Drosophila melanogaster: one gene and its partner. The gene in region 1 interacts genetically with each later gene. Each region holds a gene or a part of one and is shown on either strand. Other genes may lie near its edges.

Region 1 (15,143 bases):
TGTTTTTATTAAACTTTTAAATTAGATCAAATAAACGTAAAAGGGCATGTACTGCTATTTTGACCGCAGCTGTATATATACGAAGTATATAAGCAATGGCGTGAGCTTAAACCTCGATGGCTGCCCTTTACCGTTTCTTATTGTCAAGTTCCCGCTCATTTCTCATCTGAATCTCTCCACACTTTCGCCAACGACAATAGCTAATGCCACGAATCCGCCGAAATGGGATCCAAACTACATAGTCAAAGGAACCCTGTACATTCCGTACGCCGAGATTGCGGAACCCTTCTACGCCTGGTATGACAAGAATACGAGGCGATCCCGCATCGATTACTACGGCGGAATGGTGAAGACATACCAACTGGCTGGCGAGGGTCAGTACGGAACCCTGCTGAAGCTGGCACCGATTACCACCAAGACGGAGAACAACAAGCTAACCTGTCTGCAGGTGAATGGCACCGCCGACCAGGCTGTCGATATTCAGAGCATCCTGCCCGATGCGAAACCTTTCAGCCTGGTGGGCACCGAATCCTTTTTGGGCTACACGTGCGACAAGTTCCGCCTGGAGTCGACAATTGGCCAAAAGAAGAACATCTATACGCTGTGGGTGCGGTACAAGAAGTCGCCGCATTATCCCTCCAGCCGAATGCCCATTCCCGTGCGCTACGAGATGAGGGGCTATAACACCCTGCTGGGATCGCACTACGATCATTACTACTTGGACTATGACAGCTACGAGCACGATGATATTCCCAACGAGGTGTTCGAGATCGATGACAGCCTGCAGTGCGTCGGATTCCCCGGACCCGGCACCGGTCACTATGCCACCTTCAATCCCATGCAGGAGTTTATATCCGGAACCGATGAGCATGTGGACAAGGCCTTCCACCATTTCAAGCGCAAGCACGGAGTTGCTTATCACAGCGACACGGAACACGAGCATCGCAAGAACATCTTCCGTCAGAACCTGCGCTACATCCACTCAAAGAACAGGGCCAAACTCACCTACACGCTGGCCGTTAATCACTTGGCCGACAAGACCGAAGAGGAGTTGAAGGCACGACGAGGATACAAATCATCGGGCATTTACAACACCGGCAAACCGTTCCCCTATGATGTGCCCAAGTACAAGGACGAGATTCCCGACCAGTACGACTGGCGGCTATACGGCGCTGTCACTCCGGTGAAAGGTGGGTTCATTCATTCCCTAAGTACTTACTTAGATGAATTTGATAATATTGAATTGCTTAAAACGTAAACTACCCTTAGATCAATCTGTGTGCGGATCGTGCTGGTCATTTGGCACCATTGGTCACCTGGAGGGCGCCTTCTTCCTGAAGAATGGCGGCAATCTGGTCCGGCTTTCCCAGCAGGCGTTGATTGACTGCTCGTGGGCCTATGGCAACAATGGCTGCGATGGTGGCGAGGATTTCCGCGTGTACCAGTGGATGCTGCAGTCCGGCGGAGTGCCCACGGAGGAGGAGTACGGTCCCTATCTGGGCCAGGATGGCTACTGTCACGTCAACAACGTGACGCTGGTGGCACCTATTAAGGGATTCGTCAATGTGACCTCCAACGATCCAAATGCCTTCAAGCTGGCTCTGCTCAAGCACGGTCCTCTGTCGGTGGCCATTGATGCTTCTCCCAAGACATTTAGCTTCTACTCGCACGGAGTTTACTATGAGCCAACGTGCAAGAACGATGTAGATGGACTGGATCATGCTGTCTTGGCCGTGGGCTATGGCTCGATCAATGGAGAGGACTACTGGCTGGTGAAGAACTCGTGGTCCACCTACTGGGGCAACGATGGCTACATCCTGATGTCGGCCAAGAAGAACAATTGCGGTGTTATGACCATGCCCACTTATGTGGAGATGTAGATTGTCCCGCTCCCGCCTACATATTTCTTATTTTGTGTACTCTTTTTATTTTTACGCCCACAGGGCGCTAAATATGCAATACATTTCATAAACTCTTTTGTAATCCAAGTCTTTTGAATCTTATCACTGCTCCGCTTGGCTGGAAATGGAGCTAAGTTTAGCTTGGGTCATTATCTCCGCAGTCCATGGTGTTTCTTAAGTTAATTCCATGCCGATAAGCCGATAAGCCTAGAAGACAATGACCAGTTACCAGTTGAACTTTGCGCAAGTTGCAACAGTTTTATGCGAATCGGGGTCTTTGCCATTTGTAGTGGAAATCATTTCTACAGTAAAAACTCGCTACATTTTTAAAAATTTTAATCATTTAATTTCATCAATATTAAATTAAACATATAATTAGTTTTAAGAATCTTTACTTTGAATAATGATTCTAAAAATAAGTATACCTTCTTATTTAAAAAACTTGCAAGCAAAGCATTGAATTTTTACATTAAACCCGTTTTACAGTTTTTCAATTAAAATAAATTAAAAATATAACATGAAGAATACTTTCAACTGATTCTACAATTTTCACTGCTACTACATTTCATTTTAGATTAATTGTTCATTTTAAATAATATATTTATAAGTTAATTTGATATAACAACAAATAAGTCTAAATTTAAATACATATTTATTGGCATAGATGTTGCATCCCTGGAATTGCGCCAATTGGTATTTTTCTGTTTTGGCTTGATGGTCATCCGATACAGTTTAGTTATTCTTTTTGAATTGTATTTGCTTGGAATCGAAGGAAGCAACGAAGCCATGGATGAATTGGTGAAGATGTGCCGGGTGTGTATGGACGAGCCGAAGGACCTGCTAGACATCTACGACAACAAGAGCTTGGGGGACAGACTGAGCGACGATCTACAGCGAACCAAGGAACCGGAGCCCACGCCGGCTGATTTGCTGAATATCTGCAGCGCATATCCAGTGGATACCGGGGACGGCTTTCCGCTGAAAATTTGCGAACCGTGCCTTATTAAATTGCGTGAGGCCTTGAGATTCAGGAGACGCTACACAAGGACCATGGAATACGTGGCGCGCGTGAAGAGGGAGCAAAGCGACAAGGAGACATGCGATCTCCTGGAGGCCGAGGATTGGGATTTTACGGATCGCATCAAGAGCGAGGAGGAGGAGGAGGAGGACGATGGGGACCGGAACGATAAGCAGCCGAAGAAGGAGACTCGCAACGAGGTGGATAAGAGGCGGCCCTTCAAATGCACCGACTGCCAAAAAAGTTTCACCGGCAAGGCCCAGTTGACCATGCACAGGCGCACCCACACCAAAGGATCCACAAGGACCAGACGAAAAGCTCTTAAATAGTCCTTGGCAACGCTTGGCAAAATGTAGCCAACTAAAATAGTAATTAATCATCTTGTATCATCGTTTTAAAAATAAGTTCGATATATTTTTAAAGTAGAAACAAGTTAGCGACTAATAATGAAAGTACATATGGAGTGTAGTTTTAAAAACAATTTCATGTTCTCATATTGACAATAAGATAATAAAGAAATGATAATCGGATCGATTCACAACAGTTTTTAAGCAGCTTTCTCACTTTGGTTGCGATTACTAGCTTTGTCGATTTCAAACAAGAAATTATTATATGGACATTCAATATATGAAAATACCTTTAACAAATCTTAACTATTTAAACTTATTTCTTTTTGTTTCTTGGCTGCTCGTCCGTCGCTTCCCTCGCGTGTGTGCTGACATGTGTTTTTGTAGGCCGTTTAGTTGCTTGAAGCTTTGCTGACATTTGGAACATTTGAACGGCTGTTCGCCAGTATGAGTCCGGGTGTGGACTTGCAGTTGCCCAACTTGCCGGAAGCGCTTGGGGCAGTTCGGACAACCGAAGGGACGCTCGCCGGTGTGACAACGTGTGTGGCTCTGCAGGTTGCCCTTCTGGGCAAAGGATCGCGGACATAGGGAGCACTTGTAGGGTCGCTCGCCAGTATGTATGCGCATGTGAATCTCTAGGTTTTGTTTTTGGGTGAACGACTGTGTGCAGAGCTTGCACCGATATGGTCCGGGAACCCTTTTCGGTTTGCCCCGTTTTGAGGCGTTCCAGATTTTATCATCATCTTCGTGTTCAAGCTCACTATCCGGGCTCCATGAGTCATTGTCCGAGTAGGATCTCGCCCTCCTCTTGGACTTATTGTGTGGCGTCTTTGCTGGAGAATAACTTTGCGCGAGCTTATGCTCATTGTTGTCTGGAAGAGGAGAAGATATTGGCTTCGGCTCTGGAGGCATGTACTTAACCTGCACAAGCTCAACTAAAAGAGGTTCGGATGTCTCCGGCGTTTTACCAGCTTCCATTACCGAGACCGGCATCTGTGGTTCTATGTTATCCCCTATATTCAGGCAATACTCTATATCGTCCAGCTCCTTCATCATCAGACGCAGCTGTTCAAAGTACTGATGGCTCTTTCGGCATTGCCGTCTTAGCCGATAGGCATTTCTTACGGCCTCCGCACACTCCACGCAGATGAACTGCGGCATTCCGTCCTCCTTATGCACGCTGCATCCGCTGCATTCCCTCAGCATTGTGGCCAAGACCGGCTCCTGCTCCTGGACCCGATTGGAGGAGGCATATGGCTCTGTATATATATCCAACAGGCAGTCGGATTCGTCCCTGCAAACGCGGCACATTTGCGAAATGTCCATCGTGGCCGAGCTCCAGAGTTTCGTAGGCAGGATCAAAAATATACAATATCAACAAAATGCAACTATTAAAATACCAATCACTGGAATATACCAACAAAAAAATACCGAATAATCAGCTGTGCTTCGCATCTTATTAATTTATCAGCTTTGATTTATGATTTAAAGTTGTTTTTTTAAGTTAAAAATGGGTTTTTCGTATTTTTTAAATATTTTATTTTAATCTGGCTCTTAGAGCATCAGAATATTCCCCACTTATCGATATACCTTAAAGCTGTACAATGGGCGCGAAGCTTAAAATGTAACGCTGTTTTGAATATGAGTAATTTTTTGAATTTGTATGAAATCACGGAAAAACATAGTTTGACAATAATTGAATTGAACTTAAGAACTTGCTTGTACAAATAAATAACAAAATATGTAGTCTACAAGCGTAAATTGATTTGCTTCGCAAACTTTACAAAATTAGATGCATACCTATTTTATAGATTATATTCAAAAACTAAACAAAAACATTCAACATTAAAATCTAGGAATGCAAATTCGTCCCAAACTCTACTTGGTATTGTACATGGATGCAATTGCAGGATCTTCGGTTTCGTAAATGATAAGCACATCCCTGAATTTATCAAGCAATTGCAGCAGTTGCGAACGTCGCAGGTTCTCGAAGTACATGATCTCCTCCAGATGATGCTCGCTCTTAAAGTAACCCATCTGATACAGCTTCACAAGCAGAGATAGATCATCCACGTTGGCAGAGGCGGGAATTCGACGGATGGCGGCTCGATCCGCATCGCTGAAAACCTGTAGCAGCTCCTTCAGCTTCTGCTCATCCTCCATGGAATCGAGGCTGTCGCAATTGTCCGTGCTCATCGAGGCGGTGATGCTGAAATTGGACTTGTGGCTGGATGATGGCTGCACGGCGATGTTGTCCGAGGCCAGTGATGAATGGTCCTCGGACGCCTCACGACGATGTCCGCCCACCAATACCGCTGGCACTGGCAACGGATGACTGGACATGCTAAGCATGGAGCCATGCAACTCGTCCGCATCTGGTTCTTGGTCTCCTTCTTCATCGCTAATGGCATCCCTTAGATGGTTGCTGCAGGAGGCCGAATCTCCGAATTCATCCTCGCTGGGCATAAACTGAACGTACGTGTGCAACTGCATGAGCAAATGGTGCTGCAGCATCCAAATCACCATTTGTGCGAGGATACCCTGTCGCGCTGGCTGCTGCAGTGGCGTGGTTAAGTGTCCAATTGAAGTGGGCAATGAAAAATCGGAGATCACCTCGAACAGCGACATACCGGCAAAACGGGCCGAGAACTTCTCCACCAGGTGGGACTTGGTGTGCAATGGTGCATCCGGCGCGATCACATAGACATTTGTCTCGCAGAGTGGATAAATAATAGTTGCCTTAGCCCAGTAGACCAAATGCGAGACGAGCTTATAAACATGCTCGATACTCAAGTCTGCATTGGAGGACATGCTCTGCAGACTGATCAGTGGGTCGTAGACGTCGACTAGCTGCCATAGCATGCGTGCCCCAGTCGGTGGAACGCAGTCCAACAATTCGGCAAAGTCGACCAGCAGCAACATGCCATGATAGGGCTTCAGTGCACGAAGGCACCGATCTATGGTCTCTGGATCCACCATGCTGCCCTTCTTATGGAGCTGGTGTGCCTTAGCGGGCAGACAGAAGCACAACGTTAGGTTGTGATTCAGCGAGGTACTCAGCAGTCCAGTGGTGCATAGATCATGGAAGATGGAGCGCAAGGCCTGTGCCAAGCTGCAGCGCTCTGCAATCAGCTCCAGTGTGCGTTCCAGCGGCTGTTGCTGCTGCTCGTCGTGTGTGCGAGCCATTTGAGCCGTCTGCTCGGTGAGATAGCCACTGCGCTGCTCCTCGAACTTCAGCGCCAGTCCAAGGCGCTTGCTCAGTTCGTGGTAGCACTTAACAATCGAGTAGCTGGCCTGTGCATGCAGCGCAAAAACAATGTTGATGAGCATCTGTTGCTTGGCCATTGGACCACTTCTCTGCTCCTTTTGCGGTATCAGAGTGGGATGACTGACAAAGCGTACGTCGTTCAGTTTGAGTTCAAACTTTTGGTTGCATAGCTGTGGTTTAACAGCAAACAGAGCGGACAGGACCTCATCTGCGAATCCCTGCAGTTGTCCTTGGCTCTTGGCAGCACCCAAGTGGGTGGGTGTCTGCAGCAGATCGTCCGTATTGGCCACGGCATAGGGATTGCGCTTTCTGTGATTGAATAAATCGGTATAGTCAAGCTGAGTGCCCTTTGAATTAATAGGTAGTACCTGGACTTCCGCTGCTCGTCGTTGGCCACCTCCGTTTGGCCGAGAGTCTGGTACGGATACCTGTACAGTAACCGATCCCCCTTGCTATCGAAGTAAACCAGGATTACGGCCAGGGGATTCACATTAGTTTCCATGGCACACAGACACTTCCCCTTTTATGTAAATTAAAATATGAACATTTGCATTATCAACTGGGGTCAGGGTCAACAAATAGTTGGCTATGTTTTCAAAAATACTTTATAAATCGTAGTTTGCTACAGAAACTACCTCAACAACTCTTTATTTATTTATTAGTACCTCAATTTGACTTCATTGAGAAATGGAAGCAAAGTAAATAAATGTAAAATATAAAATATATTTACAGCAGTGTGGCTCTCTTTTAGTTTGCATAAAATACCAAAAACTTATTTAAAATAGTAGTCATGTCAGTTTTCATTTTGCAGGCGAAACAATAATATAAATGCAACGCAATGGAATTTTTTTAAATCGTTTAAATTTACCATAGATACCTTAGATAATATATTCAAAAACTAAAAAATACTAAACGAAAAACGGTCTTACTATATAAATAAATATATATCGGCAAGGCTAATAGTATAGGATCCCTGGTCGAGCGATAACGATCTATCGCTCCGCTGTAGTGTGACCGTCTTCGGTTGGTCAGTCTCTAATTTTTTAGAAGCGGAAAGTTGTGAGCAAAACGTGTGGAAATTGTGCTCGAAACGTCAACAAAAAATTTGTGAAAATAACTGGGAGCGTAGTATGCGAACGCGGCAATCGCAGAACTATGAAATTCCCCTGTGAAACATGTTAGTTTGGCTGTAAAAGCACTTTTAAAAATGACGATTTCTTATTAGCGTGTTGGAAAAGAGGAAAACACACACATTGTGAGAGGCAAAATACGTGCGGATCGTAGGTGGGAGCGAGACGACGCTAAACGTGTACTAGCCGCGGTCTATATATACATATATATAATATTTGTGTGAGTGTAGGAGAGGTATAACTAATTCTACAAAAAAATATAGTTTACTTGGCTGAGTGGTTCGCTTCTGAATTAGTTTCGCACTCTTCGGCAGTATGGTGGCCAATAAGTTAATTTCAACTAATTGTCATTTACTTGTAGGTTTGTTTTTCTACTATGTCTTCGTTTCTGTATCTATTCCTTGTATTTTGGAAAATAGGATTAATAAGTGCCTAAAATGTAAATAGCTTGTGGTTAAATAGTTAATAACATAACTATTTTACTTTTTGTGTATATGTGCGCCAACATCCGTGTGTATAGATTTTACACATACCTACGTAGAAAGGCATGCACAGATATACGTTTGTGTGGGTATCAACGAATAGGCGGAAAGGCGAAATCGAAATATGTACGTACAGCATTTCGGAATGGCCAGGCGCAGTAGTAATAGGCTAAACAGGGAAACAGCGCAACACAAAAACCAAGAAGAAGAAGCAGGGCAGGCGAACAAAATAAAATAGGCGATAATAGTCAGTTGGCATGTCTTGTCCATAGGCTAGAACGGTCACACTAGCTATATGGTCTGCTCAAACCGACTGGTCGTCTCGCTCTTACACACGTCTTAAGCAATCCCAGTTTATGTGTTTTCCTGCGCGTTTTGTCTTCTGCTTCTTGTGCCATACGGTATTAATAATAATAAAATTGATTAATCAAAGTAGAAACATTTTAATTTGTGCAGGTAGTAAACGTTCGAAACAACGTCGCGCCATCACTTAAATGCTGCAAATCAACAATGTGCAACGGAACAAAAAAGAACCAGTGTTAAAGTGTATACAAATTTAATTTGTATTTATAAAATTGAAATATAAAGTTTCGAAATAAAAAATAAACCACGTAGCTTGTCGTTAAATTAAATTAAGTTGTGCAAAATGAAGTGAAAATTCAAAATAACAGAGTAAACGGTGAGTAAAACTAGTGTGTGTGTTTGTATGTGAGTGCGCGCCCAAATCGGAAATATTTTGAATCGAAAAATATACAGTCGAATGGGTTATACATATCTATTGGATCACATATATATGAAATTCAGATTTTATTTTGAGTCGAGCCAGTTAAATAAATATTTCATTTGTTGATGCGTCGATTTTGTATGGTTTTTTTTTTTGCATACTGTGTGTCGCCATATTTGATTGCATATTCTTTTTTCAACTAACCGTCAGTATAGCGTGCTCGCTCGCACAGCTTTGCGGGTTCATTTGTTTTGCTTTCGATTCCGTTTTGTGCAACGTGAAGGTAGATGTGCGTATTATGCCCCTCGCACAGAGTTGCCAACCCGAAGCAATTGTTTTGTTAAATTTCAAGTTGTTTTTAGTTTGTTTTGCTCGAGTTTCTAAGGAGATTATCTAAATCAGTATTAAAATCATATTTCGATTTGGCACACCCCTCCGCATTTGGATTGCAATGTGTATGCCGTGCAGTGTTTTTGTTGTCTCTACCAAAATTTTGACATGCGCATCAGCTAGTCGGAAAAACTTAACAACAAATCGACCGCAAAGTGAAATTAAAGTTGATGAGAATTAGTTGAACGATATCGACGACGCCATGTTGTTCCCATTATCCAGAATGTTAGCACAGAGCTATATAGTTTTTATTTTATTTTCTTTCGCCCTGTTTTCGTCAAACTTTTTATTGCGTGCTCCAGCGTTTACACGCCTGTACGCCGTGAAGTTGGCCGCAGTTAACATAGCTAAGTGTTAGTGTGTGTGTGGGGAGAGCTATGGTGGTCTCGCTCTCGCTTACAGGCATTGCTCGAATGTTCCTGTTCTGCTCTTTGCGCATACGTGATTTTTGCAATTGTTATTTATGCCTTGTGCTTTGTACGCGCGAATTTTCGCCACAAAATGAAAGCAAAAGTTGATAGACAACTTTTTGCCTGCGCTCGGCTTTCGTTATTTTCTGCGCAGCGCAGACAAGACCATCGTCAAAATATTATTTCGCGAAAGCTAAGCCATTCGATAATTTCAAAGGTTGTCGCGGAACGAAACCAAACCGCCACAACCCCCTAAAACCACCTCCCAACCCCACAGATTTTTTTAATGGTGTAATATCCATAATAAAATCCCATGCAGTCTCAATTCTTGATTAGTAATTGACCGAATTAGACGGACCAGAACTAGCGAGCAAGTGAATTAAAATAAGACGCAATTAAAGTTGACACTTTGTAGCTGGTATGCAAAAACTAAAACCCATTTTACGCTTGGCGACTGTTTCAATGAAAGTACAGCCAAAGCAATGCCCCTGATATTGTGCAGTCACGTAGTCCATTGGTCAACAAGCTAATATGAGCAGCATTACTATTTTTAATTGTAGGTTCATTTTTATTCCGTAGATCACAATAGGAGTCTTTCTCTTTTCGACTCACTCGTTTAGATGTGTGCGTCTGCGAGCCTCGATAAGCTTTGTATTTGTTCTACTTCATCTAGCGATGCAACAAAAGCCATAGCAACAAAAAGAAATCCCCAACAAAAACGACACGAAAGCAGTGGCGGATTAAAAATCCTGCTTGCGGGGAAGCTCTCGGAATTTAAAGAAAACAGCAAACAAAACTTAATTCTTTCGATAATATTTTGTTGATATAATGAATTAGATTTTGGCGCATATGTATATCCCAAATGAACCCCCTTGGAACCGCCCCTGTACGAAAGCACCGTGGCCACTTTTCATGTGTTTGTGTGCTCGCGATAAGTTTCAACGTGCATTTGCAGGCACGATTTACGGGGATCTGCTGCTGTCTTGCTCACACCCACGAACCGATAATGCGCGCGAATGGGGCTTATTGTGTGAGCTTGTGTGTAATTTGTTTATGGCGCGCATTTTACTTGCGGATGTTGTTGTTGTTGTTGTTGTAGTATTTGTTGGGGTTGGGGTAGGGTTGGTCCCGCACACGTGCGTGTGTGTGAGTGTAGTTCACCTTCTTTCCGACGATGAGCGAACCAAATTCTCCTTCGCCCCTCGCTCTTTCGTGTGTATTTTTAACTAAGAGCATTGTAAGATTCTTTCTAAATGTTGAGATGTAGCGTCGATGCTAGTGTGTGTATTTGTAACCCAAATCAAAATTTACGACAGCCCCAACCGCTCTATGTGTGGCGTTATCTTTTGTGGCCCATTGAGAAATATGAAACAAAACATGTAACGGAAATGAGAAATGCATACCACAGTCACTATCAAAGAGTTCTAAGCTCAACATCCTGGCTTATCAAAACGCAGCTTGAAGTTGAAAAATCAGTTTTATCGATTAACCTGGTGGTGGCCTTTACATATGTAGTTGCATCTTGTATCCCACAATCTATAGGCAGTAACCCAATGGTTACATAAGCATTTCGTTCCCAGATTTACTATTCAATTGGGGAATCAATTGCGCTGCTCCCCATTCTCTATTCCAATTAGAAACTGTATCTACAATAGGCGCAAATTGGCTGCCAGCACAATCGCACAAGCAGTCGCACACACACGCAGGTGGGATATGGCAGATATGCCCAAGTGCAAGTGGCCTGTGTAATGTGTAATAGATACAAGAAACTAAAAAGCCAGCGACAAAAGCAACGACAACAGAAAAACAAGAAGAAGAAAACTACTAGCGATGAATGCCGCGCCGGATGCCAAGGCGAAATTAGTGCATTCACTTTTCGCTCCGCTTTGCTTTTTTGCTTTGGCTCTCTGCTTTGCAATGCGAATGACGGGGCAAACGCCCGGAATGTGCAGTAAATTAGAGAATTAGAGAACAGTGGCAGTACTTGGCAAATGTCGACATCTTTCAGAGACGGTCGTTTTTTGAGGTGTAAGCGTTTAAAAACGTTTAGTAAATTGATTCCAATGATAGAAAATGAAAGGTCTTTAAATTATTAAAAAATCATTTATTAGTGACCCAATAGTAGATTCCATAGTATAAGAACATGTAATATCTTAACCTTTACAAAGCTTATCAAGTTAGCAAACTTGTAAAATAGTCGAATGTTTATTAATTGATTTGGGACGCATATTGCGTTGGAAAATTGCATTAGCCTTTCAGCGATGCGGATAAACAAAAGCAAAATAGGAAAACTTGTTTCCACAAAAGCCAAATGAACAAGTGCTAAACGTTGTTAGTGCTTTTTTTTATTGGCCAGGGGGGTCACACTACACCTACACACATCCACGTATTCAGGCACACGCACACAAGTGTAAACAATGCACAATCCCTTTGTTGCTTTAGCTTTGGCGCACCTTTCACACTGTTTCTGCTTTGCTGTTTCGCTGCTTTTCCACTTTTCCGCTCCGTGATGCTGCGTTCAAGTTTACAGCAAGTGCAGCAGCCACCACGAAGCACATTCCGAAAGCGTAGACGAAAATACATACGTAGAATAAACGCGGATATTGATGTTTGAAGTGCGCATGCGTATTTTTGGCGCCCGTTGGCAGTGCTGTGCTTTTTATTTTGTTACATAACTCAAATCTGATTTGCAGTTGGCAATGCTACTCCTGGATAATAGAGATGAGCTCCTTAACTTTTATCGATAAAGGCAATGTACCCGTGGTACACTAGAAAATAAAATCTGAACTTTACATCCGAAGATATGCATCCTTGTTTTAATTTTTTGCTTTAATTATTTTCTAACATTATTTTACATTTGTTTGTTTACCACGTTTTTGTTTAAAACAGCTAAGAATTAATTTTTAAATTGGTACTTTTTATTGTTAATAGTTCTGTATGGCCTATATTTAATAGTTATATTTTTACTCATTGCAGATACAACGAAATATCGTTTATGGAAAGACCGTATCCAAAGAATTCAATATCCAACATACAACGACGGACAACAACGCAATATCAATTGGGCGGGACTATTAGTTTTGCGAGATTGGATCAGCTTTAGGATAAGGCTCCGTATACAGGGAGTCAAACAAAGGACGCAAAAGCGAAGAAGCCGGGGAGCACGCAGTGGAAGTTGCCGAATCTCTCCCAGCGTTATGATTGTGATGGCTGACAATGTGATGTGGCACAGAGTTGGACACCGTCTATGCAAATCGAGCGCGCACCACCGCCTACGCCTACAGTTGTCACCACTGGGAGTTTCAGCTTCCGTCATCCGTGCCAGAGCCAGAGGTTATGCATTGAGCCCCCAATGTTTTGGGGGCACGTCAACAAAGGCCCAGCGACAGCAGGAGCAGAATCTGCATCAGCAGAACCGGCAGCAACATGACGGCTTTATCTGTGAAGTAGTGTTGTGAAATAGAAACTAAATCGAGACCGAAACCATACTCTATCAAAAGAGTGAACTCTCAAGCCGAGCCAAGGCTCCTTCCCTGTAAACACACGTCTAATTTTAGTTAGCGGACCAAACTGCCGCAGCACCACCACCATGCCCATGTCCAGTCACGACTCGGTTTTCGTGGAGCCTGCTGTCAGTAGCAGTGGCGGCGGCAGCACCAGCAGCATAAATCGCATCGGAGTAGCCAGTGGGCCACAGCCGCCACCCCCTCATATCGTCATCGATGGCAGCAGCTTGTCCACACAGGCACAACTGCGCATCATGCAACGTCGCATGTCGATAAGTACGCGCCAGATCCTTAGCGCCAGCCAGTCTCAGTCGATCAATCAGTCGCAAAAGTACGCGGTGCGTACAGCAGCCGGAACCGGAGCTTTAGCTGCGGGGGCAGCCTCTTCGGGGAGCTCCGGTCAGGAGCTAATTAATCCCCAGATCTACAAGATTGTGACCACGGACGGTAGCACCAGCAACGTCATCATTGACGCATCAGCTGCGGCACCACCGCACAACTCCAAACTGTTGCTTAGTAATCTCACTGTGCTCTCCAAACAGGCACCAGTCCAAGGAGCAGCCGGTCAGCAGCAGCAGCAGCTCAACTATCTGGGAGCCAAGAGTCTGCCGTATGTGAGTGCGTCGCCGGCTAAGACGCAGCAGCAGCCCCAGAAGTTTGGCAGCATCAGCGCATTTAAGGCGCAACATCAGCAGCAGCAACAACATCCTCATGCTACCCTACAGAAAGTGACTTTGGGCTCCAGAGTGGCAACCCGTCTCCAGTCGTACGTCCCGGCATCACCGTCGCAGATAATGGTGCAGCCGGCGCAACCAAAGTATGTGAATGCCACGGCGACAACGATAGGTGGGAATGCTGCTCTGCTCAAAAAGGCCAATCAAAAGATCACGGTCAAGAGTGTTAGCAATATGTCACAACAGCAACAACAGCAGCAACAACAACAGCAGCAGCAACTACTACAGGCTCAGCAGCTAAAAACCTTTATCACGCAGCAGCAACAGCAGCAAACCTACAAGGCGGGGGCCAAGGCAAAGTTTGTGAAACAGACGACTGCCTTGTCCATTGCTGCATTGCCCCAACAGCAGCAGCAAACTACCTACGCCAAACAGTCAATGGTCACCACGTCGACACCCGCGAAGGTAACTAAACTGAATAGCAAGTATGTGCAACAGCAGATCAGCCTACCGCAGGGAACGCAACTGCAGCACAAAGCGTCGCCGAATGTCACCGGAGGAGGATATCTTCTGCAGCAGTCTCAGGCCGCCGTCGGAGGAACTATTAAGTTTGTCAACTCACATGGCACAGTTATCCAGCAGCACCCCCAACAGCAGCAGGCAACAAAGCGTACCCACTACAACAGTAGCGGGAGTAGCGACAATGAGCAGCACGCTGTAGCGAACTCCTCACTGATAACCGATGATGTTATGATCGTCAATGGAACTCAGATGACCGACGAACTGTCTGCCCGCATCCTGCAGAGCATGGCCCAGAAGTCGTTTAGCCAGCAGCAAAGATTCCATCAGGTTCCCGCCACTGGCAGCGGCAACATGCCACCACCCACCCAAATCATCTATAGCAACAGCACCAGCAACGGGGCCGCTGCAAGTAGTCCGGGTGGAAATGCATCCGGCAATATGCTGCTTGCCCACTATCAGGCAGCCGGCACAAAGCCGGTCTCCTCCGCTTCGTTCATCACGGTCACTGGTACGCCGCCGGTTACAGTGGCCACAACGCCGTCGGTGAGCATCTCATCGCACGGCTTTGCCAGTGGCAGTGCGGCCATATCCTCCTACATGTCATCGGCAACCGCAGCTCGTCGCCAGTCTGTGAGTGCGCCCAGTAGCAGGGCGGTGTCTCTGGAGCGGAAGCAGCATCACCAGCAACTGCAGCACGATGTGATTGGTGGCGGGCGAAAGGCGCCAACGGTCATCGAGTATTACAATAAGCACGGGTAAGTGTTAATGATT
Region 2 (15,686 bases), on another chromosome or scaffold:
ATAAACCATCAAAATATAAATCACTAAACTATAGGGTTTTAAGAAAAGATAGATTTTAAAATGTTCTGTAACTTAGAGGTTTTTTTAGTAACACCATAGAGTGTTTTTCAGTCTATGAAAGATTAAGATATTAAGATTAAGAATCTATCATTAACTTCAATCCATAGCTAATAGAAACCCTTTCCTCTGTTCCATTAGAATCTCGCCCAGTGAGCCGGGCAGCTGCCAACTGATGAGCCGCAAGAAGCGACGCGGAGTGATCGAGAAGAAGCGGCGGGATCGGATCAACTCCTCGCTCACCGAACTCAAGCGCCTGGTGCCCTCCGCCTACGAGAAGCAGGGATCCGCCAAGCTGGAGAAGGCCGAAATCCTTCAGCTGACCGTGGAGCATCTCAAGAGTCTGCAGTCTAAAAGTAAGTTTACCAAGCCCACTTGAGCTAGCTTAAAGAGGTTTTAAAAAGCAAATAGGCTAGCTGCACCACAGACCTCCTCACTGAAGTTAAACGCTTCTATGGGTCATTAATCACAATAGGAGCAAATAGAGGGTTAACTTGGGCAGCCAACTAAGTTGGTTAACTAAAAGAAGTAAAGTGTAAAGAAAGTAATTTCTTATTTCGACAGTTAATATTACATTAGGGCCCATTTAGCGCACTAATTAATCAAGGCATATCTGACATACATATGAACTTCAATACATTATAAAAAATTGGAATGGGAAAAACTGCAAGCAGAATCCCTAAACGCAAGCCGCTGTGGGAAACAATTGAGTAACGATATTAAATACAATATGCGGCAAATTATCACAAATCTGGGTAAACAATCCTGACCTGTTGTCCCGAACAGGGTCGAATTGTGGGAAAATTATGATTGCCGTAGGCAAAGCAGGACCACCACCACCAGCGCCAGCCTAGCGCTCAAGTGAATCTCGAATCTCGGGGCTTCCCACGCTCAGTAGCGGCACCACCACGATGGCAACCTTGTAGCCAGGCGCGGGCTTTCACCCCCCGATAGCCACCTCACAACAAGCCATCCCGCCGAAGGACATGGGGGTTGTTCTTTATGCTCGTCGCGTGGGAACAGCTATTTTAATTGTTTGCCTGAACTGGGATTAGACAGCTTATTGACTTTCTCCACCTCCTCGTATCTTGTTGCAGCTCTCGACTCGCTTAGCTATGATCCGCAGCGAGTGGCCATGGACTACCATATCATTGGGTTCCGCGAGTGCGCCGCAGAGGTGGCCCGCTATTTGGTCACCATCGAGGGCATGGACATTCAGGATCCTCTGCGCCTGCGCCTTATGTCCCACCTCCAGTACTTTGTGCAGCAGCGCGAACTGTCGGCCAAGAGCTGCGCCAGTCCGGGTGGCTGGTCTCCGGCTGCTCCCAGCTCCTCCGGCTATCAGCCAAACTGTGCGGCTGCTCCCTACCAGAGCTATGCGGCGCCAGCCAACCCGGGTGCCTATGTGTCCAGCTACCCCACACTAAGTGCCTCGCCCTCTCAGCAGGCTCAGCAACTGGGAGGACGCACCAGTGTCTCGCGGACAAGTGGAAGTGCCGTAACTGAATCGCTGCCCAGCCATGATCTCCACTCTGACAGCAGCAGCCAACAGCAGCAGCAACAGCAGCAGCAACAGCAGCAGCAGCAGCAACACCAACAGCAGCAGCATCAGCAGCAACAGCAACGGACGCAGACAACACCTCAGCCGACGCAGCAGCAACACTATACCCACGACCACAGCGCAGTGCATTCCGAGCAGCAGGTTCCCACCTACATAGAGCTGACCAACAGCAATCGTCCAGCGGCCATAGGTTCCGATAGCCTTAGCTATAGTGCTGCTCCTCAGTATCCGGTCAGCGGACTGCCAGGCCAGGACTACAACAACTCCAGTGTGCTGCAGTACGCCACTCCCAACGGAGCAAAGCCCTATCGTCCTTGGGGCGCCGAGATGGCCTATTGATTGTGGGCATAAGCCTCAGAAGGGATATTTCAACCTCTAGTCAGAGCAGACCAAGTGTGATAGTCTTAAGTTTCGCATCCTACACAGAGAGAAAAAAATGGAGAAACAACGCAGTGAGATTAGCTAGTCCCGTAAGCCTTTAAGCTTAAGTTATACCCTATGATAACTATAACTTTGAACACTTTGTGAATCTATTGTAAATAAACGCATGAGTGTATAAGTGAATATGTTGAAACTCGCTTGATAATTGATATTCGGATCAGGAAAGCCTTTCTAGTTGTTATATTTCGTGAAATCTCGACGTTCATACAGACGGACAGACGGACATGGCCAGATTGAATCAGGTATTGATTCCGATCAAAAATATATATATAATATATAATATATAAGAATATATATAATCCACGAGTAACGGGTATAATTATTAAAAACAATCAAAAAAGTTTAAACAAGTAGTGACGATCCACATTCAAAAATTTGAGGTATATCAATGACGCATACTTTGATTAGTGCTATTATTGGATTATCAGAGAAAATATTAATTTTAACGAACATTCTTGAGGTGCGCTTTGTCACTGCGAGGACTACCAGTTCGCCGTCATAGCGGCTGAATTATCCTTAGCTAAATGGGAACAATTCGTTGCAGCGAAAAATTTACCGAATTCTTTTTAGTTTTACACGTCAGATAGCTTAGGGTTTCTAAAAAAAAATTCCAAGAAATTAAGTTCGGTCTATGGGAGAAGACAGTTCGAGGCGCCTCCCGCGCTGGTGGTTTGGAGGGGTTTGCGCTGCAATCGCAGTCACCGGCACCCATCCGATTGATCTCATCAAGGTACAGCTGCAGACCCAATCCCAAGCGGACCGGAAGACCGTGGGGGAGATCCTTAAAGGCATACACGAGCGGAGCGGAATCTTGGGCTTTTACAATGGCATTTCGGCCTCCTGGTTTCGCCAGCTGACCTATACCACCACTCGCTTCGCCTTGTACGAGGCCGGTAAGGACTACGTCGACACGCAAAAAGTTAGTTCCAAGATGGCCCTGGCCACCTTTGCGGGAATCGTCGGTGGGATTGTGGGTGTACCCGGGGACGTGGTCACAGTGCGACTCCAGAACGACGTCAAGTTGCCGGAGGAGAAGCGACGTAAGTGAGTACTACCGGGGGCTCCTGTACCATAGATCTCCCAGACTTTGTCCATCTGTTCGTTTGTCTTCATCTCCACGTGCTTTTTTGGTTTGCTATTGATAATTAGTCATTAGGACAGCAAATTTCTTCCCCCCATACGTACGAGTCATATAATTAAGACGAATTCCGCAGCTACAAGCACGTTTTCGACGGCCTTTTCCGCATCTACAAAGAGGAGGGCGTGTCCAGTCTCTTCCGCGGCACAGTGCCGGCCGTTTCCAGGGCAGTCCTGCTGACCATCGGAACGAATGCAGCCTACGACCAAGTAAAGCAGATGCTCAAGATCGCAACGGGGGCAGGAGAGGGAGTACCACTGCACTTTGCCACATCCACGATAGCTGGATGCATTGCCGTGGTGATAACGCAGCCGCTCGATGTGATCAAGACGACTTTCATGAACGCCCAGCCGGGGGAGTTCTCCGGGATCGGAGGTGCTTTTCTGAGTACCGCCAAACAGGGCCCATTGGCCTTCTACAAGGGATTCATTCCGGCCCTGATACGAGTGTCACCCAATACGATTATCACCTTCGTTTTGTACGAGCAGGCGCGAATGCGATTTGGATATCTGCCACCTGACAAGTAGGGATGCCCCAAAATTCGTATCCATTTGGCATTTTTACATAAATTGTATTTTATACACGTGATTTGAAAATATAGAATCTTTCATACCAGACCATTGAATCGGAAGTAATCCGGGTCTAATCAGCAGCCACTGTGCTCATTAGCATCGCTGGACCAACGAGAACCGCTGACCGCTGACCATCGACCACCGACCACTAGCCGCTGGTCAGCGAGCTCTGGGGGTCAATGAATGCCGCTCACGGTTTATGAAATTTGCATACCCAGCAATAATAAACACATGAGCACCCAATCCGCGGCGGTTAGCTAAGCCGGCTGCACACTCGCTGCACTCGTAATTAGGGAGCGGGGTTAGCAAGGTGCAGGGGTCGCAACCCCGAACACCACGAGGAACGGGAAATTATCGAGGAAAACTGGAAAGCTGGCGACCGCAGGATCTTGTCCCTGCTCCAGAAACATAATCCCCAAAAGGGAAACAGTGTCACAAAGGTAGCAGGGTTAAAATATTTTAATATACGCTGGCATATTAGTTTAGTTTAGGGTGCTTTCGTAGGCCAAATGTGTTTCTAGAGGGACTGGTGGCTACCTAAGCTGCTCAACATGTTCCCGAAAAAAGGGTTTCTGTTTTGGTTCCAATGGTAAACTAACGAGCAAAACGTTCTAATGACCCAGAAATTAGATGAAAAGCGGTTAAAAACAATGCAATGCAAAATGAAACAATTGTTAGGAATGCTAGTCTAGAAACCTTTACTTAATTCTAAGTTAATTTCCTCAATTCGCATGCTTAAGAATTGAAATATTTATCGCAAATCCCGAGCTCATAGTTTAATTTAATTCAACACACTTTAGCTACTTGTAATTTGTTCTCTTGGCCCACAAAAATCACTTGAAACCAAAATTACAATTACATTGAAACCCAGCAACCGAAATTGCTGTCCATGGAGTGTGGGAACATTGCGAAACACCACCCCTGGCAATAAAAAACGAGAAACAATCTTTTGCGCATTAATTTCTTTTTGCCGGTTAAACACATATAAGTGATTCGGGCGACCTACCACGTTCGCGACCATGTGAGAGACCCCTGAGCTTTGACTTCCCACGCGGCGAGCAGCGCAACCACCACCCACCAGCGATTACAATATGCCCCAGACAGGGGTGGTTCGTCCTGGCCCAGAGATCGGCGTCAACACCATCGCCTTCGACGTAATACACACGTCAAAACTTCCAATTAGAGACAATCATTCGGATCTGGGACAGGGAACTTGTGATACCGAACCGGGGTGGTTTCATCGGTGACTACAAAAGCCATCGAGCTGGTCGGACGGATTTCATTCTTTGGATTACCAGCAGAGCAACAGGATCGCAAGGACGAAGCCCGCGGAGGGGTGGTTGCATATCATTATTATTATTATAGTTTTGTGGTGTCATCGAAAGTGCGATGATTTCGTTTTTATTGCGGTTCGAGTCAATTAAGTGGAATATTTCGCGACATTTCTGAATGCTTTTCCGTGTTAAACATAATAAAAACCCTGTTTTTGGGCACTTGTCGGCGTCCTAGTTAATTTATGCACATGTGGATGGAATGTAAATGGAAGTGCACTTGAAAGGGATTTATGATCCATTTATGTACTCCCGTGTGAGGAGTTAATCGAGAATACATAGCCCATAAATAAATCTCAATAAAATCGATTTGAATGCAACCACTGAACCCGAAAATGCCTTTTCCTCCTCACCTCTGCTGGTCCCGACCCACTCGAATGGGATGGATCTATCTCGGATTTGGCCTGTGCCATGGGGTTTTTTAAAATAGCTAGCACATCAGATCTGCCGCTCTCCCTCAAACACACACATGTGACCGTATGGAGAGTGCTTGCCATTATAGTCACTATCTCTAGTGCTCGCTCTTTCTCGTTGTGTGAACTTTAATTCTGTTTTGATTCTTCGCCTTTCGGGAAGTTGTCCAAAATCAATAGTTGCTCTAGTTTGCCAGCCGGCAGGCAGAAGTTGAAGTAACATCCCATTGTTTTTTTATTAGTTTCTGGCACTTTGGAGCATTGAGAGCTCCACGTTTTGTGATGTAACGCGAAAATGCCCTAGGAAAAGCGATCTGAGGAACACTGAACTGGGGAAATGTGGACCAGAAAGCTATTCATTGGATTCGCAAGAATGCCGGCTTCTAATCCGAGATGTAAGTGGTGGTATCAAAACACACAGGCCTTCCGAATATTCGTTTAGACCCATTTCGTATGGGAAGTATCCACGAATTACGCAAATGATGCGATTCCAACTTTATAGCAAAACGTACAATCCGACAATAACCGAGTAGATTTATTGATTCATGATTCGGGACTACTAAGATTCGTTGTGTCTTCTGGTGCGCGACGAACACTACGTGGACTATTCCGCACAGTGATATAAGTTTGGTTCATGGTGGCACCAAGATAAAGTTTAATCAAAAATATTTTTCTAGAAAATTATCGTTCCACGGAATCTTTAAAACGATTGAATAATGCGTAAACCCATTGATAGTTCACTTCATTAATAACATTAACATTAATACCGTGAACTCTAAACATAACTAAAGAAAACCACTCATATTGAAAGGCAAGCGGCTGAGGTTTAACTTAGGAATTTATTCGGAACTCTTACAATTAAGAACAAGATCAGTGCCACGGCACCTGGTTGCCGATGGTGCCCTTTTTGTAGAACTTGGCCGTGGCCGAGGCGGTAGTGGCCAGTGTCGGAGTGGGCGGAGCAGGCTCGTAGGTGGGTCCGCTGCCCTCTGCCTTCAAGACGGCGGCACAGCGCCACTGCCGGTTGTAGTTCATTCGCCACAGACGCACACAACCGTCGTCGCCCGTGGAGATCAGCATCGTGGCCAGCATATTCCAACAGACGCGCCACACTGGGCAATTGTGCTCGCTAAACTTAATGGTCTGGATGTCCAACTTGGAGATGTCCGTGGCGTCCCTTTAATTATAAAAATTATTATTATTAAATGATTTTGGGTCTTTAAATTGTCGATCTTACGTTACACCCCGCAAGTTCACAATATAAAGATCCTTGCTGGCCACTGCCAGCATGTGAAAGGTGCGTCCGGCATTTGGAGCAAAGGCCACATCCGTGACCGGATCGGTTATATCATTGACAGTATCGATTTTAACGCACTTTCGGGAATTCTCGCTGTAGGCGAATAAGAAGACCTTGCCAGTAGGCGTGGCTGCCTCGTCGCTGCCCGCCTGCAAAATAATTTATGAAAATTAGGCTTATTCTTACTCCACAGATAATAGAATTAATCCTTAATAGACTAAGACTTGGAATTTAAATATACTCACCGCCAGCAGCTGGGTGACCATGTAAGTGGAAGTGTTCCAGGACAAACAGCTCAGCGGCAATTTGTTGCTAATCTCGTGCTGCACGGGCCACTGCGAGAGGTTCATAATGTCCGGGGCCTCATAGATGCGAATAATGCCGTCGGCGGAGGCGGTGGCCAGCAGGAGTCCCAGGTACTTGGGTGCAAACTCCACATCCGTGACACTGGTCCGCGAGTCTACAAGGGTGGTGCGGCGCACCCAGCGGCGAGTGGGGGTATTGGTGGAGGATACCTTTTCGCCAATCACCTCCTCCCAAACGGAGGCGGTGCGATCAAATGAGCATGTGGCCACAACCTGGCCAAATTCCGGGTGCGCCCAGGAAACGCGCCAAATGGAGCCGGAGTGCGCTTTCCAGCTGCTCGTGACATTCCACTTGCCCTGCCCATCCTCGTCCCAAATCTGCAAGCAGAAAATCCGGATCACCTAGGCTGTTTATCGTAGGAATAATTCGAGTCCTCACCTTGACGGTCTGATCGCTGGAACAGGTTGCCATCCTGCGGCCGTAGTAGTCGAAGACCACGTCGTGTATCACATCCTTGTGGTCGGCAATAATGGGTTCCACGTCGAACATGATAAAAACTCAACTTATTTACCGAAATGTTGTTTATAAAATGCACGCGCCGAAAAATCTGCGCCGGTAATGCAGCCCTACAAGGAGAGACAGGGTTGGCTTGCAAACAGCCGCCGAACAGCTGTTGTTTACCTTGCTCAGTATTTTTTCAGTACGCCCAGGCGAACGGTCACACCGAGTTAGTGGTCCGAATTACGCGTGAAATACGAATAAAAAATCGAGCGAAAAATAACAAAACACAGTACTCTAGTCGATCACAAGCTGATAACGTATCAGCCGTGCCACACGCCCATCCGGGATTCGCGAGAACCACACTAGTCGGAGAGTCAGGACTCCAATAGCCGCCAAGAGGCCGTTTTGCACCCGGAAAAGAACAGTTACACACAACAAAATTGCCAACCGAAAGAAACGTGCGAAGCGCAGTGCGATGGAGAAGAGTAAGTGCGGTAATCTAAGCACTAAACGGGTAATTACGGCCCGATCCTATACGATACGATCCGAGCGAAATGTATGCGCATATGTGTATGCAAATGAGTGGGGTGAACAACCCCACAGCATAGTCGTATGTAGATCGGGACCCGCGTTTGTTTAGCATTTGAATTCGCTGGCTAAAGTGCGGATTTCAATCAAAGTGCAATGGGCAGCATAAATTCCAATTGCTTCCATCTGCAATATGCTCAATATGTCTTGCCTTGCTCGCCCTCTCTCGCTCGCGCACTCGCTGCTGACCTTGATTCCTATTGGATTTTACACATCGCGCGATGCCCGTGACGTATGTGTGTGTGTGTGTATGGGCGAGAGAGCAGCATAGCTGCCAACGTGTGTGTATGTCGGCCGGCATCAATTACCTAATAAGAACTAAATTGGAGACTGCATTTCTTGTTGGTATTGTATTGCATAAATACGATATAAGTATATTTATGAAATATGAGCATATCACAAGGACTCGAATCGGAAATTCAATCCAACGCAGTCACTACAAATTCGTAGTATTTTGCTAAGAAATTAAAAAACAATTTAACTGTAAACCGTGCACTTTACAGTGTCTACAAGATTTCAAGTGTGTTATCACGCACAAATCGGTTGTTTGTTGCTCTGTAGAAATCCTAGAGATAAGCACATCGAAATCAGGCGTTTCACACGCGACCGACTTTCGGTTCTATTATTATTTGGCTGTGATATCAGTAGACGGTTTTTTTCTGGCCACGCGCCAAACATGAATAATTCGAACAGAATCGAACACCGAAATACAAAAATTTCCGTGCGATAAGATGCCGGGAAAGATTTGGAATTGAGCCCGAGCCGAAACCATGAAGACCCGTCACCGTTAAGTATTAATCATAATCGGTCGCCAAGGCCAATGCCGAAATCGGAAGATTTTTCAGGCACTCGCCGCCTATCTGAGATTAAAGCGGGCGTCGCGTCGGGAATTTCTTTTATGACTTTTAAAAAACCTCTGCTGATGCCGGGAGCAGCGAGCATCACGGAATGAAAACAAATCAGCGGCGTTCGCGTGTTCTGCTCGTGGCAGCGCACTGAATTCGTTAATAATAATTCGATTCAAGTGCATCGCGCTAATCAATTTCTGGCGTTTTCGCCCATTTAACCCTAATCAGCATCGCTTGCCACTTACGCCAGCAAATTGAGAAATTATGGTCGTTGTTGTTGCTGCTTGCTGCTCCCAGCAGCAGAGTGCATTTCCGTCAGCGGTTGGGTCAACTCCCAGATTAAGTCCAGCTGGAGCAGCAACAACAACAACAGCAGTACCGAATGCCATCGGCGACCTTGACATTGAAAAGCTACCGCCGCCCATGAGACAGAGATACATGGAAGAGAAAAGAGCGGGACGCACTGCTAGTGACAGAGAGGGGTAGACGGTTGTTGGCAACAGCTGATCGCCATCATCATGTCGCTCTTATCTTTTATCAGCCGCAGACCGTTAAGGTATAATTGCTGTGCAACAGTGGAACTTTCCTATAGTGGAACTCACTGATGTTAAGCTGATTGCGATTGCCGCTGGAAGGGCATGCTTTTATGGTTAGTTTTTATGAGTTTTTAGTTTGGAAACTACGCAAAAAATCCAATATAAAACAAAATGTCATTGTAGTTATTCCAGAACTTGTTGAATCGGTATATACAGAAACCTTATTCATCACTGACGACAATAAAGAAATGATTTTGTTAAATATTTCTCTGGTGCCACTGTACCCAGCATTTATTTATTCGGACATTGTTATGGCATAATTGGTTCACAAAAAGATCACTGAAACCGACGGAGCACACTGGTCGTCATTACTTGAGCCACCTTCATAAAAATTGTTATTAATCCGGCAGGTTGCCCCGCTTAATTCGACCGCCTTTCTGTTCGAATTAGTGGCGCTCCTTGTACATATGTAGTTCTTATGTAGTACATAGTGCACATATATTCCTCCTGGTCACTTGGCGCTGGCTGAGCCAGCAATAAGCAAAACAATAACACAACAACAACAACAACAATTGGCTTGGCGACCCGCGAGACCCGCTGGCGATTAACATACGAGCGCAACAACCTGAACACGCACAAACACAGGTCCGCGCACGAAAACCTGGCCGTAGACGTAGTCAAAGCTATAGCTATAGTTGATATTGATAGTGGCGACGCCGAAGTCGGCGTCCGCTGCGCGTTCGGAGAAGCGGCGTTCAGGCATCGATAGTGCTTTTCGGACGAGCATGGCCCAGTTGAGTTCCAATCGTCGGTCACTGCAGTAGCCATCTAGAAATCGTGCGGAACCAGTCAGTCTAGGAAGTTCAAACCGATCCTACACGGTCTACTACAATCCGATCCGATCCGGTCCGACCTCGTCTTCGAAACTGCCATCACAAGCTAAACAAGGGCACACGCAGAGTGGTAAAGCGAGCTGAAACCGTAGATCTAAATCCTAAGACGAACTAAACCCAAAACACAACCGTATCATATCCAGCCAAGGTCCCGAAAAGTGCTGCCCTAGAGATAATCGCACGTCGAGTAAGATTCTTTTGTTTTCGACTGTTGAGTAATGCCAGCAGAGTTCTTATCACAGGATCGGTGGTAAATAAAGCACAATTAAAAGACTCCATCCATTGCGAGGGTGCGCACTAACGGAGCTACTTGAGTACGGGACCGGGCCACACCTGTTGAGTCGTTTCCAGCGCAGAGTGTAACCCAAGTCCCAGTTCTCTGCGCGATTTCCGAGTAAGCGGTTACATAACACCCCGCTGGTTGCCAGAGATCGATTCCGGTGTCCAATCCGACTTTCCGTGTCTTTCAATGCCCGCCGCCTGGCTGGCACACTTACACACGTGCACACATGTATACTGTAATGCCAAAATCATTGACCTCTTCTGCTGGCCATACCACACCGATTTGCATTTCCTCACACCAACCAACCAACTGGGGGGGTTTTGTTTCTGTCAGCTTAAGTTTCTTCAATTTTCCCTTCGCGCTCTTCGCCGTTTTGTTTTAATTTTAAATGCGCTGCACATTGAACCTCATATCCGAAATTAATTTTCGTGTTTTTAAGTTTTATCGCCCTGCCAAAGGGTATCTAAAGTAGATTATTTAGTAGTGAAGCCATCTTTGACCCGGAAACAGCTTGAGCTCCTGTATTTTCGTATAGTATATTGAAAACTTTGATATGTACTTAGATTGAAACTTTTCAAGTGATATATGCAGGTGTAATAGTGTTGATTAAATCGTAATTCGACACCTGTCACTAATTACGTAGTTGCTAAACATAATATTCACTTGCGCCTTTACAACGTACTTTGAAATACTTATTGCATACTTTTGAAGTCACCCGCTTGATCTGTAGATTAGTTTGAATTTCCCGTAGAGTATACCTTATTCGTTGACCACATCTCTTATCAGCTGCCTCATTGACCTGGCAACGATTTATTTTTGGGTCTCATATGGTTGTTTTTTCGGTTTCTTAATTGTATCTCGCAAACTAGTTAATGCATTGATTAGCATTTTCATTTTGTTTTGTTTCGCCGCTTTGGCCTACAATATCGTGGCAAGGTTTTTGAACTTGAAAAGTATCCGAAACAAGATGATGCACAGGCACTTTCACTATCTACACACTGTAAACTAACCCAGCTAGCTGGCCACCAGATAGCAGATTATCTAATCCGATTTGCATTCACCGATTTAAAGCAGCTTTTTGGATTTAGCCGATGTTGATCACGATATTAGGCACTCTGGCTGCTTTTCTCGCATTCCTCTTGACATTGATCTTTGGCCGCGGCCAGAAAAGATCCAAACCCGTCCAATCGTCTGCAGCAACATCCGCCACGACAGCAACAACTGGCGACAGCGACAACGGCAACACCAATCGTAAGAATCCCCCACTTTGCTAAACCGAAACACTTGAAGGGCACACAAATCGCACACCTAGCTGATAACCCAGTTTAATTAGTTCATTATGTGTATACGACTTTTGACCACGACTCACGCGTACCTTGTTTTCCTTATCTCTGCTTACAGACAACTCCAGCGTGATTGCAGCTACAGCAACGGCAACAACCACCAGCAGCAAGCCTCCTATTGCTCCAGCAGCACCTCCTTCGGCGGTAAAAGCGAGTGACAAGCGATTCCCCAAGGCGTGCATCAAGAAGGTCCAGTTCTCCAGCGAGAGCCTCCGGTCCGACGTGGATGAGCTGTGCGACCAGCTGAAGGATAGCGCACTCAGCAATCTGAGCAACGACAACATTCGCATTGCCTGCCACCAGAACAACAACAACAGCAGCATCAACAAGAACCAGAACAACAACAGCATCGACATCAGCATCAGCATCAGCAAGATGAGCGAAACAAATGAGTCCAATGACACGGCCGCCCAATCCGCCGAGGGCGAGCGGCCCAGCTTTTTGGTACGATTCATCATATTTCCCATCTCTTGGCACCATCACTCAGCCACCGTTTCCCTTCCACAGGTGGGTGATGAGATCGACGAGCGGGCCGCCGAGGCGGGCGAGGCATGTGACGAGTTCCCCCTGAAGATGCAGAACGATGTCCGCCAGAATGGCGATATTTCCGAGCGGCGCAAGCGGTTAAGGTAAGTCGATTTGGGTTTAGCCCAAATGAAAATGGGACAGAAAACATCAGAAGTACATTATGGTTGTGGATAGAAAGCCATTTATTAGACAGAAATTTCTTAAATGAGATTGCGGTCTTTATACTTAGAATTAAATACATTGAAGATAGCATAAGGATATATATGAGGACTTTTAATAATCTAGTTTGTTATTCATATGATTATGATAGGCTAAGCAAGCTATTGTATATCATCATGTTTTCTTTGATTTAAATTAGAAATCCAATAACAAATAGCGCTTAATCTAGTTTAATTGATTCAGTTCAGCATTTCCTCCCAATCTTATCTTCATAATGCTTGCAGATTAGGACTTTTTGAATCTGGCAACCCATCCACTTCAATTAAAGCTATTCTTTCATTTAGACACTTGAGAATTGAAGCGTTTATAGCTCAAGATATGCAATCCATCCCCAATGGCGCCCACATTTGCGCTGAGTGTATCGAGCAAAACAAAAACAGGTGGCTGCGTCACAGCCAAACGCCGCCAAACATATCGCGTGAGTTTAGGGAAAAGAGACAGCGAAAAGCTCGCGACCGTGTGTGCGAGTGGGAGGCAGTCTCTCACCCAGCTTTCCGAGAACTTTCGCGGTGCGCAAACATGGAGAGAAAAGTGGCGGCAATAGAGATAGAGAGTGCCATGTGGGAACGCCGCATTTTGTTTTCATTCATATAATGTTCAAAACTCGTTTGGCCAGCGGCTGGCTCGCTCAGCGGCTCTCTCCGCTTCTCCGGCCCACGGGGCGTATGAGCGATGGTGGCCAACACCGCTCTGCGGTTCAGTTCCCTGGCAGTCGTCGGCTCTGTCGGTCCGCAATCCGCTTTCCGCAAACCCCAGAAGTACGGCAGATATACCCCAAGACCCAGCCCGTTTCCCAAATAAGTTTCTCGCGTGTGCGGACCATCGTTCGACATTGATTTTTGTGTGTGAATATTTCGGCCAGCGGAGCGCGGTGAAAGTGGTGCAGTGGCATTAAAATATTTTGTGAGCGGCTCGCTTATTAGTCACACTTGCATAATTGCGAGGAGCCGCTAAAACACCACGACGATCCCCCTGCCAGAGTTCACTTTGGATGCTATTGGCCCTCGTGGAGCTCATTAGAATGTTGAAGCGTCGCGCCAGCAAGCGTTTCGTACTTGTTGAGTCCGGTGAAGATAATGCCAACGGCTCCGGCTCGGCCTCGGGCTCTGGCTCGGGATCAGGAGTGGGAACGGCGGTTATACCCCAATTTGTGGCTGTGGATTGCGGGCAGAACGAGAGCAACAACAACCATGTCGGCGAGATGAGTGCCAGCATCAGCAATCACAATAGCTCCAACAACCAGTCGTCGCCATCGCTGCTCAGTGTGCCCGTGGTGGGAACCCTCAAGTAAATGCCATGTTTAATACCCCATTTGTTTATTGCAACGCGATACTAGTTGACAAGATGTAAACAAAAGCGAATTATGTGCAGATCTTTTGATCATGTCAGCCAAACCGGTTTGTCAAATCTCATTGTGCCTTCCGTTTCTTCGCCACCTGTCCCATCGCGCCATAACTTACACTGGCCAGCATGAAAAGTGTTTTCAGGGTTCAGTTGGTGATGCAGGCAAAGCTTAACTTTTGGCTGGGTAATATAGTAAAAGATCTAAGCAAACATTGAAATCATCATCTTTAAGTATTGAAAGCTCAAAAAAATGTTTTTCAAAGTAAGGTGAGAGTAATTCCTTGGAATTTTACAACCACGTTTATGACCCAGTTTCTTATATAGCTATATTCTCAATTGAAATCTTAGGCCGGTTTTTCCCACATTATATCCCAGCAACTAACTAACTCTCCTTTCCCTGACCTCTTCCAGGCCGAGTATGTCGCGTGGCACAGGGCTGGGCCAGGACCGGCACCAGGATCGCGACTTCCACATCGCAACCACCGAGGAGTTCGTGAAGCGCTTTGGCGGCACCCGAGTGATCAACAAGGTCCTGATTGCCAACAACGGTATCGCGGCCGTCAAGTGCATGCGATCCATCCGGAGATGGGCGTACGAAATGTTTAAGAACGAGCGGGCCATTAGGTTTGTGGTGATGGTCACTCCGGAGGATCTAAAGGCGAATGCCGAATACATCAAGATGGCGGATCACTATGTGCCCGTGCCCGGCGGATCGAACAACAACAACTACGCCAATGTCGAGCTCATCGTGGACATTGCTCTTCGCACCCAAGTGCAGGTGAGTCCGGAATCTGGGGGCCACCGCCATAGAAGTGGCCAGTGTCGGCTGTGCCGAGTTGTCTATTTGCCTTGGCCAGCTCCACCCAAAACGCATCGTACGATTCGTATTTGCACTCCGTCAATCGGGGGAACTGGCAAAGTCAAGCGATCGCCCCGCATACCAATAAAGAGACCCCCTATTCGTATACGAATATGTACTCGTGTGTTTACGAGACGGCCGGCATTTCTAAGCAGATAACTGTGTGTGTGTGTCAGCCAACACTGTGCTACAAAATTAGACAACATACTCCTGGGTAGAGAAGTTTTTAGCGATCTACAGCCCAGTCCCGTTTCCGAAATATATAATATATGCTCGAATGCAATTTAAAGGTATTTTGTGAAAACCTTTGACACTGTAAACGGTTGTACGTGTCAATTGCCAATAAACAAATAAAATTACACGTTTTGAACGGACGACTCACATACAGTTGGAAACAATTAAGATTCGTTAAAAGTGTAAAGTTTAAGTATCTAAGAGCTTCCAAATGCACAGCGTGATTTTACCTTACTGCGTATATTAGCTTTAATCTTTAATTGCAATTCCAAGATCCAACACTAGCTCTTTAGCAAAGTACGCTGTGAAAAAAAAAAAAAATGCGAAAACTAACATATTATTTTCCTACCTGTACATATAGTATATAAAAACCCTGTTGAGTCTAAGTGGCAAC

The links.
Region 2: of Nprl3 (region 1) and Nup44A, changing one suppresses a phenotype caused by changing the other (phenotypic suppression), as found in Drosophila melanogaster (one study listed by BioGRID).

Annotation. Positions count from the first base shown.
Region 1 is NT_037436.4:13,994,591-14,009,733, forward strand, and holds Nprl3 (nitrogen permease regulator-like 3), read right to left. Parts: upstream 7,291-15,143; 5' UTR 7,200-7,290; exon of another isoform or gene 7,055-7,199; 5' UTR 7,037-7,054; coding exon 6,903-7,036; intron 6,844-6,902; coding exon 5,145-6,843; 3' UTR 4,790-5,144; downstream 1-4,789. Other genes in the region: CtsK1 (cathepsin K1), read left to right, coding at 201-1,190, 1,270-1,880; CG17361 (uncharacterized protein), read left to right, coding at 2,616-3,248; CG17359 (uncharacterized protein), read right to left, coding at 3,573-4,592; upSET, read left to right, coding at 13,260-15,127. UniProt on the Drosophila melanogaster protein: An essential component of the GATOR subcomplex GATOR1 which functions as an inhibitor of the amino acid-sensing branch of the TORC1 signaling pathway.
Region 2 is NT_033778.4:7,981,932-7,997,617, reverse strand, and holds Nup44A (nucleoporin at 44A), read right to left. Parts: upstream 9,157-15,686; 5' UTR 9,109-9,156; intron 9,087-9,108; exon of another isoform or gene 8,991-9,086; intron 8,103-8,990; exon of another isoform or gene 7,904-8,102; intron 7,787-7,903; 5' UTR 7,666-7,786; coding exon 7,555-7,665; intron 7,494-7,554; coding exon 7,056-7,493; intron 6,960-7,055; coding exon 6,751-6,959; intron 6,691-6,750; coding exon 6,384-6,690; 3' UTR 6,335-6,383; downstream 1-6,334. Other genes in the region: Hey (Hairy/E(spl)-related with YRPW motif), read left to right, coding at 199-413, 1,155-1,957; Dic3 (dicarboxylate carrier 3), read left to right, coding at 2,691-3,103, 3,274-3,724; ACC (Acetyl-CoA carboxylase), read left to right, coding at 11,857-12,016, 12,167-12,552, 12,616-12,737, 14,611-14,977. UniProt on the Drosophila melanogaster protein: Probable component of the nuclear pore complex (NPC). Involved in maintaining the localization of another nucleoporin Mgtor to the nuclear envelope of early meiotic female germline cells.